Arabidopsis thaliana: one gene and its partner. The protein of the gene in region 2 interacts with the protein of the main gene of each other region in a pairwise test. Each region holds a gene or a part of one and is shown on either strand. Other genes may lie near its edges. The genes, in order: AT5G66330 and NAC097.

Region 1 (7,701 bases), 5.8 Mb from region 2:
AAAAAATCACGAACCCCAAAAAAAAAAGACGACCGGGGAAACTCAATTACGAAAACGACCCACAAACAGAGTCAGTCACGAGACTGAAATGAAAACGCAACGAACGAAGCAAATTCAAAAGAACATGAAAAGAGACATACGAAACCCTTAAAAGAAAACCCTAAAATTGGACAGGAATTAGGAAAAAGTACCTGATACAGAGAGAAGGAGGGAGGAAGGAGCGGTGGCGAGAAGAAGAAGAAGAAGAAGAAGAAGAAAGAGATTAAAGATTAAAGAAAAGGGTCAAGAAGAGATGGTTATGTGAGTTTGGTAAAGCATTCAATTTGGTAATCTCAGCCTCTCCCTTGGCTACTAAAAACTCCTCTTTTTCTTATCTCTAGAAGAAACGCTTTTTACTCTCTCTCTTTCTTTCTTTTAAAACATAAAAAAGGGCAACCAAAAAAAAAGTGTTTTTTTTTTAAGATAGGAAATAACTGACAATAAATCTATAAATTTTATGTATCAGTAGAAAAAAACGGCACTGTTCAATTACAGAGATAAAATAAGATCTTCATCAGTCATCATCAGAGTATTTCTTTCCTAAAGCTTCGAATTAAAATCATATTCACTCGTTTTCTTTTATTTTTCAAAGATTTGGTTTTAAAAATAAAAATAAAAAGTTACGTGTCTTTCCTAATTTGCCCTTGACCGCATTGGTAGCCGCTCATCTTGGGAAATTAATACTTCCCGCTCATTGGTTTTTGATTTCACATCTTTAAGTTAAAACGCTTTATTTAGAATAAAAAAGTTAAATGTCCCCAACACTAAAGTATTTTTATTGTAAGCAGCACTAAGCAGTGTGAATTTGGATTAAGGTGAAATAACGAAAATAACCCTAAAGAGTAATAATGGAGAAAAGCATGTCTTCGGAGTAAAGGCAAAGTGAGGAACTGAGATGATGCAGAAACCGAAGACAAATGGCGGGCCAGCTTTTGTCCTTCTAACACACCACGAGAAAATGATTCTCCCTCACTCACATTATCCTTCAAACCTTTCAAATTAAAAAACATTATTCTTCATTTTACAAAATAAAATAAAAAATATCCATTCAGACAAAATAGATAAAAGAAAAATATCTTTGGAGATTCTCTTTTCTTCTTTCTACAAATTTCTGCCTTATTATTCAAATTGTGTAGATTCTCTTCTAATCTTTTGGTAACTATTAGTTGAGTTGGTGGATAAAATTTTATTAGTTAGCATTATCCAATTCGGAGTAAATATTACTATTGCTTAGCCTTTAATTTTAATTGTTTGTTTGGTTGAACAATAGTTTTGGCATTTTGCATTTATTTGTATCATATACAGAATCTGCATGTTGTTTAAAACTGTTGAATTTTAGAGCAATGGAAATCTCCCCCCTATATTTGGAAAATGCGTGATGATTATGACTTCCAAACAAAGGCATCGTTGTAATTATACATCAAAATGAATTGGCTATACTTTATTTCCAAAATGTGCATACAAATATTTTTAAACATTTTTGTCTCAATCTTAAAGGATTAAAATGCAATCCTAGGAAAGTTTTAAATTTAGGTGAGATAAAAAAAAAAAAAAAAAAAAAGTGGAAAAGGTCTTCGGAGCCGAGCCGCCGGCTTGAGAAGTAGTAGCCACGTGTAATGCTGACGTGCCGTGCTCTGTTTGGCTGTATCTCATGCATTTGACGTGAGTCGACCAATCAGAATTCCCCGACGGCTAATCCATTGATGTTTTGTTTTCACAATTATTTAGGGTGGAAAATCATCACACTCTTGCCTAAATTAAAACACGTATATTCATAAATCACTCTAATTCTGTCAATGAAATGGATAATCTGAGAAGATAAATATTTTGTAACAATGCTAAATATTAAATGACAAAACTAGCCTCGACGTATCCGTCGGCAAAGCTGCGTTTCTTGATATGGGGTCTTTATGTTTGTTGTACTTTTTTTTTCTTTTAAATTTTGAAATGTCAAATTAAGAAGAAGAAGAAGAAGAAGAAGAATAGTAAGAGAAGCTATGACAGAGAGTGTGAGAGAGAGGAGCTAAAAAGTCCCACGAGAATTGTTAGCCACTTTTGAATCTTCCATCTCCCATTTTTTTCTATGGAATGGATCGTACCACCAATGATATGAATTTGTTCATTAAAAATAGAGAAAAAACAAAATTGACAGCGATTTGTTAATGTAAATAAGAAACACTTGTTTGGTTTTATGCATTAAGACATAGAAAGCAAAGGAGACAACATATCAAATTCGAAACCTTGGAGCGGGAAAATGAAAATCATTCAATTTTGTCACATACTGACCGTGGTAGACTATTCAAACTATCTCACCTTCTTGCATTACGATTTTTTTTTTCAAATATAAAAGAAAAGCAAATTTTATTTGTCTTTTGTATATGAAACGAGTTTGAGGAATCAAAACTATCTAAAAAGACGTACCGAAAGTGAAAACTAAGAATATACTGTATGAGACATTAGAGGAGGTTGTCATCTACTCATAGTGTTGACTTTTGATGAAACCCAAATGAATGAATGAATGGTGGCGCCATTTCCTTTATGAAGGAACACCCCTTTTGTTTTGTCATTTTCTATTTGTACAGCCTAATTGTTAGGTTGTTTTCATTTTGAAGACGGGCCTACGAGATCACTTTCATTTGTTTATCGTATCATATGGGCTCTATAAATATGACCCAACATGTAAAGCCCAAGCAATCTGCATATAGAATTCTCATAGCTCGATATTGTTGGTTATGAGATTGTTCTGTTCATATGACCTAATCATCAACTGGGCCACCAGCCTACAAAATGGGCCCAAATCATATTCATGGTCGCACGTGCTGACCATAGCACATCCCGTGTATCTTATCCATTTTTGTTACACAAACCCATTTGTCATTAGTTAATAACAAGATCGTCTAGTTGGCTAGTTGCTGTCTCTCCAAACGGCAATTTTATTAAATTAATCACAATTTAACCGATGCAATTATCGGGTTAAGCAATTGCCGGAAAAACTCGACCGGACCGGATACTAACAAGGAAAGAGAAGATTACGGGACGACGCGGCTAAACTTTCTACATTCCTTCGGAGATCTCTGTTCTTGTCCTTGGCAGAAGAATAACGTCGCCGGACACCATGAGAAGCAGTTTCCGGCGAGCTGCACGTTCGCTGATCCAGGCTTTAACGCCATCAAAGGACCCGGTACGACTCCGAATAAGAAATTTCCGCCTAGTAAAAGTCTCTGAAACCCGGCGAATTCGGATCCGGGCGATACGGTTTTCCAGACGTACTGGGTCGGAATCATACCAAAGAACTTGTTGTTCTCTAACGACAATGCTGAGAGCTTTGGTGATAGACCCATGAACAGAGGTAACGCACCGAGGATCTGATTGTTGCTGAGATCTACGGATATGAGCTCGCTGGGGAGACCCAAGGGAGAATAGTAGGGTGACTCTAAAGAGGTGAAGCCATTGAAGGAGAGTGTTAGCTGCTGTAGAGACTGATGAGTGAAGATAAACGATGGGATTGAGCCACTGAGTTTGTTGTGGCTAAGATCGATTACTTCGAGAGAATTTAGAAGTTTGAAGCTTTCAGGGATCGTTCCTTGGAAGAGGTTGTTTCGCATTGAGATTTGGACTATAGATTCGGGTAAAAATGATGGGATCCGACCGGAGATGCGGTTATCGCTCGCGTCGAGGTAATACAGGTTTTTGAGTGAGCTCAGATCAGGGAATTCGCCGGAGATGTTGTTTAGCTGGATTTCCAGTCGTTTCAGGCTGGAAAGGCCATTGAAGCTCGCCGGAATGGAGCCGTAGAGGCGGTTGCTGTCTAGCACGAGCTCCTCAAGAACCGTCATTGACCCGACTGAATCGGGTATGGATCCGGAAAAGGAGTTTCCGGACACAGTGAGGCGGGTGAGACGGGTGAGATTGGAGAGCGAGTCGGGAAGTGGACCGGAGAAGTAGTTGCCGGAGAGATCGAGGGTCTGGAGATAAGGAAGGTTGAAAGAGACGGAGGAGAGGGAGCCTGAGTAACCGGCTTGGTCCAGACTGAGCTCCGTGACCCGACCCGATCCGGTAACGACGGAGTCGCAGCGGAACCCACAAGTGAATGTGTCGCTGAATATATTGTCGCAGGGATCGACGGAGAAATCCCAAGAACTCAGGCAAGAGCCTGGACTCATGGATTTGGCATCCACTGAGTTCTTGAAGTCTTTGAGAGCTGCCACGTCACCCCAGAAAGTCTTGGACTCTGCTGAAGATAAAGTGAGCAAAAGAAGAAGAACAAGGGAAATAAGTGAAGCCATTACAAAAGAGAGATGGTTAGCTCTGCTGAGAGATGTTTGGAAGAAGAAGAAGCAGAGTGGGTTTGGAGTGAATAATGACCGTTGGATGAGAGGGTCAAGGCGTGTGATAGATCTACAGAAAGTTGCTCTGAAACTTGAAAGACAGAGGAATTTATATATAGAGAGATTGAGATATTAAAATAGATAGTGTAAATTTATATCATGTGTGTCATTGTCCATCAGACATATGCGTGAAGACAACAACATCTGTACAGTGAGGTGTGGTTGGCCCTATCCCCATCCACCATAACTCAGAGGTTATGAGTTTTAGATTCTGTTGAGATTCCAAAGCAGAACAACTCTTGATTTAGGATTATTTGACATATTACCAATTCACATGTCATAAATTGACTAATAAACTTTACAATTTATTTCATTTTCTCCCATATGTGACGTACCCATTTGACCAGAAGTTGTCAAAATCTAAACTAGTCTTGGTTGATGACATAGATAGAAGAAGTAATTATAGCCTTACAGGAAGCAAGGTTGATGGGTTAATGAATGTGCAGCTGTTGCAAGCAAAGGTTCCAAATCATTGGCTCTAACTAACTTTAAATCTATGGAAGACGACGAAAATGTTCATATATGATAGGATCACTCATTAGCGTTAGGTGTCTAAAACTCTAAACCTAAGCCATGTGGGACACTAAATCATCCTAACGGGTCACTAAGACTATGCAGAGATTGGTAAAACAAAAGGTACTAACATAATCTATTGGCACCATCTGAATTTGTTGTCGTCCTTGCTTTTCGTCGGTATGTTGTTCTTAACGAATAATTGTCTCACTGTTTCTTTGTTAATCTTGAACTCAAAGACCATCCCTATAATAGTTAGAAAGATGCACAATTACAAAGCAGAAACTAGTGCTTACATCGATCACGATACTCTCTTCTCTGACCTTCTATTTTCCTCTAAGCTGTGATTTATGCTTATCCAGATTACTATTGAAATCGTCGACGAAGTGCGTTTGTTGCCCAATGCCATCTTTCCAGTCTCCGGAAGAAGAGATAATGGAGAAAGACAAACAGGGGAGAGAAGAGTGGATCAGGAACAGAGTCGAATGTATCCAAAGTTAGTTATGTGATTTGCTCGTGAGTCTCATGGAGAGAGAAAAACAGAGGCCCATACCTCTAGGGCTTAGTAGTTTTGTTTTACCCAGCAACAGCATGGCTTAGTTTTGGGCTACTTCATTATTTGGTCACTGAGGACTACAGTGTCGTCTTCTCTTTATGCAGCGAGCCTGCGACACTCAAATTAAAAATTCGGTTTGGAAAGCTTGATGCTGTGGACCTGAGGCTTCTGTTTTGTCCCCTTGAAATGCAATGATGGAATTGCAAATTGTCCCTCAGACGTGTTACTCTCTTATTGGTTCACAGTGAAATTTCCTAAGGCCCCACTTGCGTTCGGAGTTTAAAGTTGCTGCTTTTATCACCATCCGACATCCGTCTTCAAGATCCTTTCTACGTGCAACAACATCAAACTCTTGAGTCTTGCTTGACCAAGAAAATAAAAAGCAACTTAGGTTTTCCAAAAGAGAAATTTCGAAGACATGGTGCGAGTAGTACGGAGGAAATAATCGGGGACAAATCAGCATAAGCAAGGTGGGATTAGCTGTTTAAGGTTTAATGGGACCAATTCAATTATAGAATGATATAAATGTAAATCACAAAATGCATGATTTGTGTGCATCTTTTTTACAAGTCTTCACAACTCCATGCAACACTTAATTAAATTTTAATCCTAATGAGTTATTATAATGTTAGCTCGTTTTCCGATTCTTTTTGCATCTCGTTATCATCATGGCTTTCTTGAGGTGACGTAAATTGAATAATGAAAAAGAGAGCCTAAGAAATGAATTGGGAAAGAAGAGTTTTTTTAGGTCCAAACATAAACACCTGCAGAAATAAAGATGCATACCAATTTTACACCTTTTTCTGTTCCCCCACTCACTCATAATCTGCCGAATTTACAGCCTCACTCGTTGTAACAAAAGAATCAAAATACACATACAGTCTCACTGCTTGTCAGATTTTGGGGATTGCATTTGAGATTTGTATAGTAAAGCCCCTTCAGATGTGGCTAAAAAATACACCGTAACGTACGATGTGAAAACTATGTAAGATAGAAATATGGAGAAACTGGCTATCAGGATATATATATATAAAAAATAATGTAAAGAGTCGGATGTGGCAGTAAGTCTCTCTTCAAATGTAAGTGTACTGACATTATATCAATCATAGGAATGAGAGCATCACTTTAAAAACGGCTCAAACTGAATAAAACTTAAGATTAGGGTATGGCATATTGCCGGATATATAGTAGTCGTAGACGAACGATATACCTGTGCTAGTGTGTCTGATTTGTTGACCAAAAGCACAAGACACCTAAATACATGTCTTCACCCAAATTTCAATTTTGTAACCTTGTTTTTCACATTAATATTTCTACAGGCAAATCATAATTGCAATTAATTGACCTAAAGTAGTAATTTGAAAGGTAAATTAATGTTAAAGTAAACCTAAAAAAAGAGTAATGTGAAAAGCTGACAATAAAACAAGGCTGAGTTTAACGATCACAGTTGAAAACTGCCAGCTGCAAATCTTGCTTTTGATGTGAGCTTTCACAGAGACAGGGTCGTTGACTTTTGTAACAGTTGAAAATTGGAGTATACTATTACATTAACATTATACCTACAAAATTTGAACTTAATAATAAAAGATCAGGTAACAATTGTTTTAATAGAACATTATCTCCCTTAGTTAATTACTTTTGAAAACCAAGATTAGTACGTTATAATCTTCACCTCCGAAGATGTTTTAAAACCCTAATTCTACCGTAAGAATCTAAAAAAAAGTTATGATTTGTTGTACTCTCTCTGTGTGGAATTCAAGATCTTGAGTTGGAGAAGAAGTGCGTACCAGTCATGAAAGTGTTAATGGGAGTAGGATAATTAAGTGAGGCAGGATCGATATAATGATCTGAAGTGGAGCCAACGACTCCATTGTTGCAGCTCACGTTTGGGCTTGATGATGAGGCCGATGGGCCTGCGGTTATGAGATTCAACGGCTGAGATCCACCGCCCGAGGAGCTTCTCTCGGCCGGGCCTTGATCGTAGAGAACACCTTTGAAGACGTGACCGCCTATACTCACAGCTGTTTTATATGCATACTCTTCTTCTTCATCATCTACGGAACTCACACGCACGCACCGAAAAACTGCCGACGAGCTAACTTCCGGCGGAAAATTCCCAACCTCCAACCCTAGATAGAAAACATTTAATTAATTATTGTTAATTATAAGAAAAAATCGTAGGAGTATTTTCAACGTATGATTTGT
Region 2 (6,962 bases):
CTCCAAGATTATTTGTTTAGTCAAGAAAAAACCCCGAAAAACGGAAAGTCTTTTGTGAGGGTTAATCTAAAGACTTCTTGTTCTACATGAAATTGGATGGTTGCAAACTGATAATGTCTTAGTAATAATTAAGTCCAATTAATTATGCATAAAATCATATTGTTAAATTATATTAAAATTGTGGTGATTTTAATCTTAAGTATGGTGATAGTTGTCTTCGCTTCTACACCATCCATGCATATTGCATACATATTGCTCATCAGCCTAAATTAATCAAATGCGATCACAACTATATCCTCTCATTTTTTGTATCAAATCAAGTCAATAACCCCCACGAGTTTACCATGTATTTATTTTAGGAAATTCTATATTTAGAAATCTTGAATTCAAAACAAAATATACTAATGATGAAGGAGCATCTCCATTGCATATAAAAGGAGAGGGTCTTTAGCTATATTAAAAAAATTATAATTATAAGATATGAATAATTAAATATAAAAGGGTCTTTAAATTTGAGACATCTCTCTCCAAAATGTCTCTATAAAGACATTTGAGACATTGTGTCTTAAATATAAAGATACCCAAACATTAAAATATTATACTTTCTTTTACATATCCTACTATATTATTTGGAAAGTACATTTTAAATATAACATTAATTTTTTAAGTAATTACATAGGTATATCATTAGAAATAAAATTTTAAAGAGTAAATTAATTTATCTCTTTAAGGATTAAAAAGTCAAATACTAATTTAATTAATTAAATTTAATTAAAAAACGAAATACATTATTAATTTTCAAAAATAATAACCAATCAAGATCAACATATAAGATTTGATATTTAAATTTTAATTAATTTAATTAAATTTAAAAAAATACATTATTAATTTCCAAAAAAGTAACCTATTAAAATCAACAAATTAGATTTTATATCTAAATTATCATATTAATTTTTTATTAATTATTATAGTTCACTTCTCATCTTTATATGATTCTATTTTTGCGAAAAAATAATATCATCATTATAAAAAAAAAATTAGAGTTTTTTCGCATATGCCATAATTTAAATTTTTAAAAACAAATATAAACTGTTCAATACATGAAAAAATATTATAAAGGGTGAAAAATAGATTTAAGAAAACTTTCTACTGAGTAACGGGTCATAATTTGAAATATTTATATTCAATTTCATACATATTATATTGAAAATTTATAATCTTATATACTATAATAATTAATAACATATTAGATTTTTTTATGTGTATGATGTGATTCAATTTTTAATACAAGCTGGAAAATCCTAGAATTGACGGGTTTAGATCGATATTAATACAAGATGGTATACTACATGTGAAACTCTTAAATTAACAATTAAACTACAAGTGTCTAATTATAAACACTAAACAATATACATAATATCAACAAAACATATACAACTCACAGTTTACTATACATTTAAAATCAAATAAAATAATATCATATATTTTTAAATCATCTTTACAATAAAAGTTTTTAGTTTAACTAAAATATAAGCCTACCTGCGGTATACTGCAGGTTAATATCTAGATTATAAGGTTTATTGGATCTAAAGACGGGTCATCAAAGATTTCCTAAACTGAAGCAAAATATACTGAATACTCAAATATCTATCTGTTACCAAATTATAAACAAATAAGTTCGTAAAACAATTTAATATTTTATATATATAATCAATTAAATCTTAATCACATAAAAATTAGCACAAAAAAAAGTATTCAACAATTAAAAAATTATCAAATCTCTGTGTTATATAAGTTTTGATACTATATTCGAATAAAGTGTAATATACCTTTTCAATTTGTATTCTTTAACTAATTTAAGCTAACTAATATATTTGCTAATCTTTTACCTATCAAAACCGACTATCGTTTCTTATCTCTATAGTATTTTTGCAAGACTTTTTTGGTGGATTTGGGTAAAAGTGCATTCGGGTCATATGGTACATTCCCCTATTAAATAAATATGGTGTACTCCTATTTATTAGCTAAAATGTTTAGATTATAATTCAGAGTCATATCATTAATAAAATTAATATTAATAAAATAAATGGCTTTTTGGCAAGACAGATTTGGAGTGACGGGTTTTTGAATCAACATTAATAAAAAAGTAAAATATAATTAATCCACCGTTTCAATACTGGTTAAATATTTAATTTATTATTTTTTAAGACCACTAATATTAAACATATCAAATCATCCTAATTTAGAAAAGATTATATAAAACCGAAAATATTATGTAGTATGTATAATGTTACTATATATAAAATTAAACTATAAAATATAAATGTATTAGAGAATGATATAATTTGCAAAACTTTTATATATAAAAATAATTCTTAAATTTTAAAAATTACTTTTTTAAAAAAAAATCACGGGACGGGTAAAGAAATTATACAACAGGTTTTATTTTGGAATTGGATTATATGGTGGATGTATTTGAATCAATATTTATAAAATTTTAAAATATTATTAATATGCTGTTTTAATAGGGGTTACAACTTCAGTTTTTTAAAAATTGTCTCATGGATTCGTGGTATAGCGTTACTTAATAATAATTATAAACTGTAAAATATAAATATTTTATAAAAATAAAATTTGCAAATTTTAATATATATTACTTTTAAAAAATAAATCGTCCCGCGGTATATCGCGGATTAAAATCTAGTTGTATTTATATTGTGGGAAGACCTCCTCATGTGATGTTGGATGGATTGGTCTAACGGACCACTAATAATATATATATATATATAATTGGACAAGAACAAAATAAAACGGGAGAGTGAAAGCAACTTGTGGCATCTTTCACCACATCCTCAATTACATTCCATTCCATTCCAAAGGGCTTGGAAGACAATAAGACAAATCATGCATATATATTTCATTTAGATGTTCCCTAATATCCTAACAATAGTAACTAAATTCAAACGATTCACCACAAAACCAAGTACATATATTTATGGCATCAACCTCGGTCGTCACCGGCTTTGAATAACTTCCTCGCCATCAGACTCGTCAGACTCGTGCTCATCCTCCACCATCTCTTCATCATTCTCTTCCTTCACTACGACTTTCACCGCCCTCCATTTTCCTACCTCACCCTTTAAAACCCAAAACATTGATATAGTTAGCTCTAAACTATTACTTACAACAAAAATATATGTTATAGAAAAAGATAAAAGTCCAATGAGTGACTCACCCGAGGTAGAGGGGACGATGACCACCTTGTAGCTCTAGAGGAAAGAAGTCGGAACTCGTACATGATCCATGGAGTTATTGTCCCTCGAGGTTTTTTTCCAATAAAGAAAGCAAATGTCTTTCTCCTTCCTTCTAAATGAATACAATCACGACCACCAGCCTCCATTACTTCCTCTTCTTCACACTCTTCCCAATAACCGGATAACGTCTCTCTTCCCTTCCTCTCTCGCTCTTCCTTCTTCACGAAGTAATACACTTCCTTGTTCTTCTCTCCTACAACAAAAGTGTACGTACAACATTCACTAAACCACATTTTTCAATACATTTGACGTGATATGGTATAGTAATTATTAGAGAGAAGAGTTTGTAGCAAACCTAGCAAGTCCCATGGATCAACATTGCAAGAACGGAGCTCAGGGAGATCGAAGTCCATTGGACGGTGGAGGACCTTCTTGGCGAGATACTCGAACACAAGATCTTCATCATCGGGATCGAACCGAAACCCGGGAGGGAGTCTCATGCTTCTTCCGTTCATGGCAAATCTCTGCGCAGAAATGTCCATTGCTTTCTTATGAGTATCCTTTGTGTTTGGTTTAGGTTGTTTATATATACTTATGAGTGTGTCACCTTTAGTTTGGCAAAAGCGGATTCTGCTTTTCCTTTAGATACTTTTTACGTACTACTATTAATTTCAAGAGATAAATAGATAAAAAAAAATTGATAACTGCAAATTCAGAGATCGTAGATTGGTTTCATTTTTGTTTATTTAAATGCGAGGATCATCATAACAAATTGTGGTGCATGTACCCATGCAGTCAACGTTGTTAAGGTTTTGAATATAGCGAGTATTCAAAAATATCTTTATTTTTTTGGTAAAGATAATCTAGTTCCTTTTTCGTTTTCCTGGGCAAAGGTAATTATTTATTTTTTCAACCAAAACGAAATAAACAAGATTTAAGTTCCAAAAGCCTAGATCCACGCTGATTCATTACCATATAAGTACATTCAACATCAATAACTAAAACGAGCACATTTCTAACAATTGGCCCAGAACTAATTTTAACATGCATTTGAAATTTTATTTTTCATAAGCCGATCGGTTAGCCCAGGTAAAAATACACGTAAGTGTTTAGAGTGGATTTAAACCCGAAAAATTACCACAGTGTTTATTCCAAATCTGAAATGTTTTCACACCGAAAAAGAAAACAAACCTTTATGTTAGGGACCTTACACATGTTTAGGGACTAGTGTATATATCATCCATGTAAAAATATCCATGCGACCCTTTTTTTTTCTTATAGTAATGTCGGAATGATATACGAATTATAGATATGAATGTACATAAATAAGCGAAAGTTTTGGACGTACGTTCAACCTATAATTTTGTAGTAAAATCATTTCTTGGTATAAATTTATACGTGGAAAAGGAAAACTTATATCATCGAGGAATCAAAATTTTCTTTGTCTTTATCATTTGGCAAGTGAAATAATAATGTCGGGATACAATACATTTTTAAAACAATAAATTTAAGTAAATATGCATAAGCAATGATTAAGAAATAAGAAAAATATAAGAAAGTATATTCAGAAAACAAAAGTGAATTTGAAAGAGAGTCCAAGTCGATCCCAACTTAAAGATTTGAGAAGCTGACTTAACGAGTAAGTTATTAGATGTTGGTCTGACTCAATTTTCTACTCTCATGCACTTCTTTAATTTCAATTATTTTAGATAAATTATTGTATATATGTGTGTCTTTGGACTGGTGACTTGCCTTTTATCCTTCCTTTTTTTCCTTGGATCAATAAAGCTCCCAAAGCCCCCACCAAACCAAAGTTGTTCCAATTTTTTGCTTCAACTTTCCAGCATCAGCCTTTGATTTTTACAAATAGCATTTTAGGTTTAGTCCTCTTTGTATAATGTTATGTTTTATACACTAGAAATAAAGGTTACATAATTTGTCTTTCGAAAGACTAAGAAAAGAAAATGAAATGGATTAAAGATGATTGTTTCATTGTTAAGGAATCGAGATTAGTTTAATTGGTTGGAACTTGGAAGAGAGTATTCATCAGCTTTCTTTTGCTGAATCTTAATTCGAATGCAACATGACTAGCTTATATTTGATAAATATTTTAAATTGTTAACATCTAGCTTTAATTCTAGTCCAAAATTTCTCTATATAATTTTCATGTGTTGAAAGTAGGCAAAGCTCTATTTGTTTTATATTCATAAAGGATATAGAAAAAGCTTTAAATTTGTCAATTTAGAATCATATGTCTTACTCCTCCCACGCAGCATTTTGGATTTGGTACTTTTCTTCACCTCGAAGATGTTGGCTTTCCATTTCCTTTATTTGTTTGTTTTCAATCTTCTTTTTACTTTAGATTTTGATGATTTAGCGACATTTCTTAAGCAACGACATACATAAATGAAAAGTTTCATTTCTTTATAACTTAGTGTTGTCAATTGATGGTTGATATTGATATGGTACAAGCACCATCTTCATGTTCAATTATTCTTTTTAACCATACATACACTTGAACGTAATTTTTTGATTGGTTCTCCAATGCAAAAAGAAAATAGTTTTAAAATAATGTCTTTGAATCTAGTTCTAATTGAATGGGTTTACCAAAGCATACTAAGTTAGTCAAGTAAGTTACTTTTCTTTCCTTTTTTTTTTTTTTTTTGAATACCAGGAGGTTTTGGGACGAAGCCCGTAATTCCCTTAGGTCCGAAATTTGTTCCAAGCGTCACTCGAACCGACGACCTCTAAACTTTAAAGTTAATCACAATGGAGATTGTAACATTTTGATTATCTTGGAGCAAATGAATTCTTAGAAGAATATTTGATATACACCACCAAAAAAATACATGAACTAGTCAACAAATAGCTGGGTGAACCGCCAGTTCCCGGTTCCATCAGAGTTTTAAAAAGTCCGGTTTTATGACTAGTTTAGACCCAAATGTGCCTGCTGGTTCCCTATTAAACCGGTCGGGTCCGGGTTTAAAATCACTGAGTCTACCCACCCTATATATCCGTACACTCGGCCCAGATCATGATCCATATTTAAATCAAACTTTTACATATTTGATCTCAATATGATTATTTAACTGTTGGGCTTTTAATGGGGGTTTTGGCCCAATAAGTAAGTAAGCGGCGTCTCTTGAACTTTATTGTAGCCTTTTGGGGTTTTTGAGAAAAGTTTTTAGGGTTTTCAGTCGCTGAGAACAATTTTCTTCTCCTTCTTCTTCTTCAAGCAGAGACGCTCTCAGCTCACCAGACATGGATCCTAGCATGGCAAACAACCCGGAATTGCTTCAATTCCTCGCCGTAAGTCTCCGATTTGTTTTTGATGAATGCTAATTAGTTCTTTCAATTTTAAAGCTTTTTAAGTCGATTCACATGGAAACTTGAGCATTTGGACAGCGAAATTATAAGTAGAAGCAGTGTTTTAAGTCCTGTCTGGATTCACAGAAACCATTTATTTGAATCTTCGTTGACGGGTCAAATTAACATTTCGATGCTTTAAACTTGAAAGATCTGATTTTTTTTTTCATGTGTGATTTAGTTGGTATGATTAGAATCAAGTTGAATTGAGATTTAGTGTACTAATATGTGTTTACAAGAATTGGGTTTATTAGGGTTTATGCAAAGTAATGATTTTTTTTTGTCTTGGGTTTATGTTTGGTGAATTGTAAGAGAATGTGGGTGTGTGTTTGTGTGGCAGCA

Evidence for each region.
Region 1: the proteins of NAC097 (region 2) and AT5G66330 interact in a two-hybrid assay, tested with the Arabidopsis thaliana proteins (one study listed by BioGRID).

What each region holds. Positions count from the first base shown.
Region 1 is NC_003076.8:26,497,463-26,505,163, forward strand, and holds AT5G66330 (Leucine-rich repeat (LRR) family protein), read right to left. Parts: upstream 4,326-7,701; coding exon 3,069-4,325; 3' UTR 2,940-3,068; downstream 1-2,939. Other genes in the region: AT5G66340 (uncharacterized protein), read left to right, coding at 5,040-5,063, 5,303-5,436, 5,580-5,691; SHI (Lateral root primordium (LRP) protein-like protein), read right to left, coding at 5,794-5,825, 7,284-7,625.
Region 2 is NC_003076.8:20,676,059-20,683,020, reverse strand, and holds NAC097 (NAC domain containing protein 97), read right to left. Parts: upstream 3,800-6,962; 5' UTR 3,797-3,799; coding exon 3,610-3,796; intron 3,584-3,609; exon of another isoform or gene 3,548-3,583; coding exon of another isoform or gene 3,508-3,547; coding exon 3,236-3,507; intron 3,138-3,235; coding exon 3,015-3,137; 3' UTR 2,747-3,014; downstream 1-2,746. Other genes in the region: TIM8 (translocase inner membrane subunit 8), read left to right, coding at 6,516-6,563, 6,961-6,962.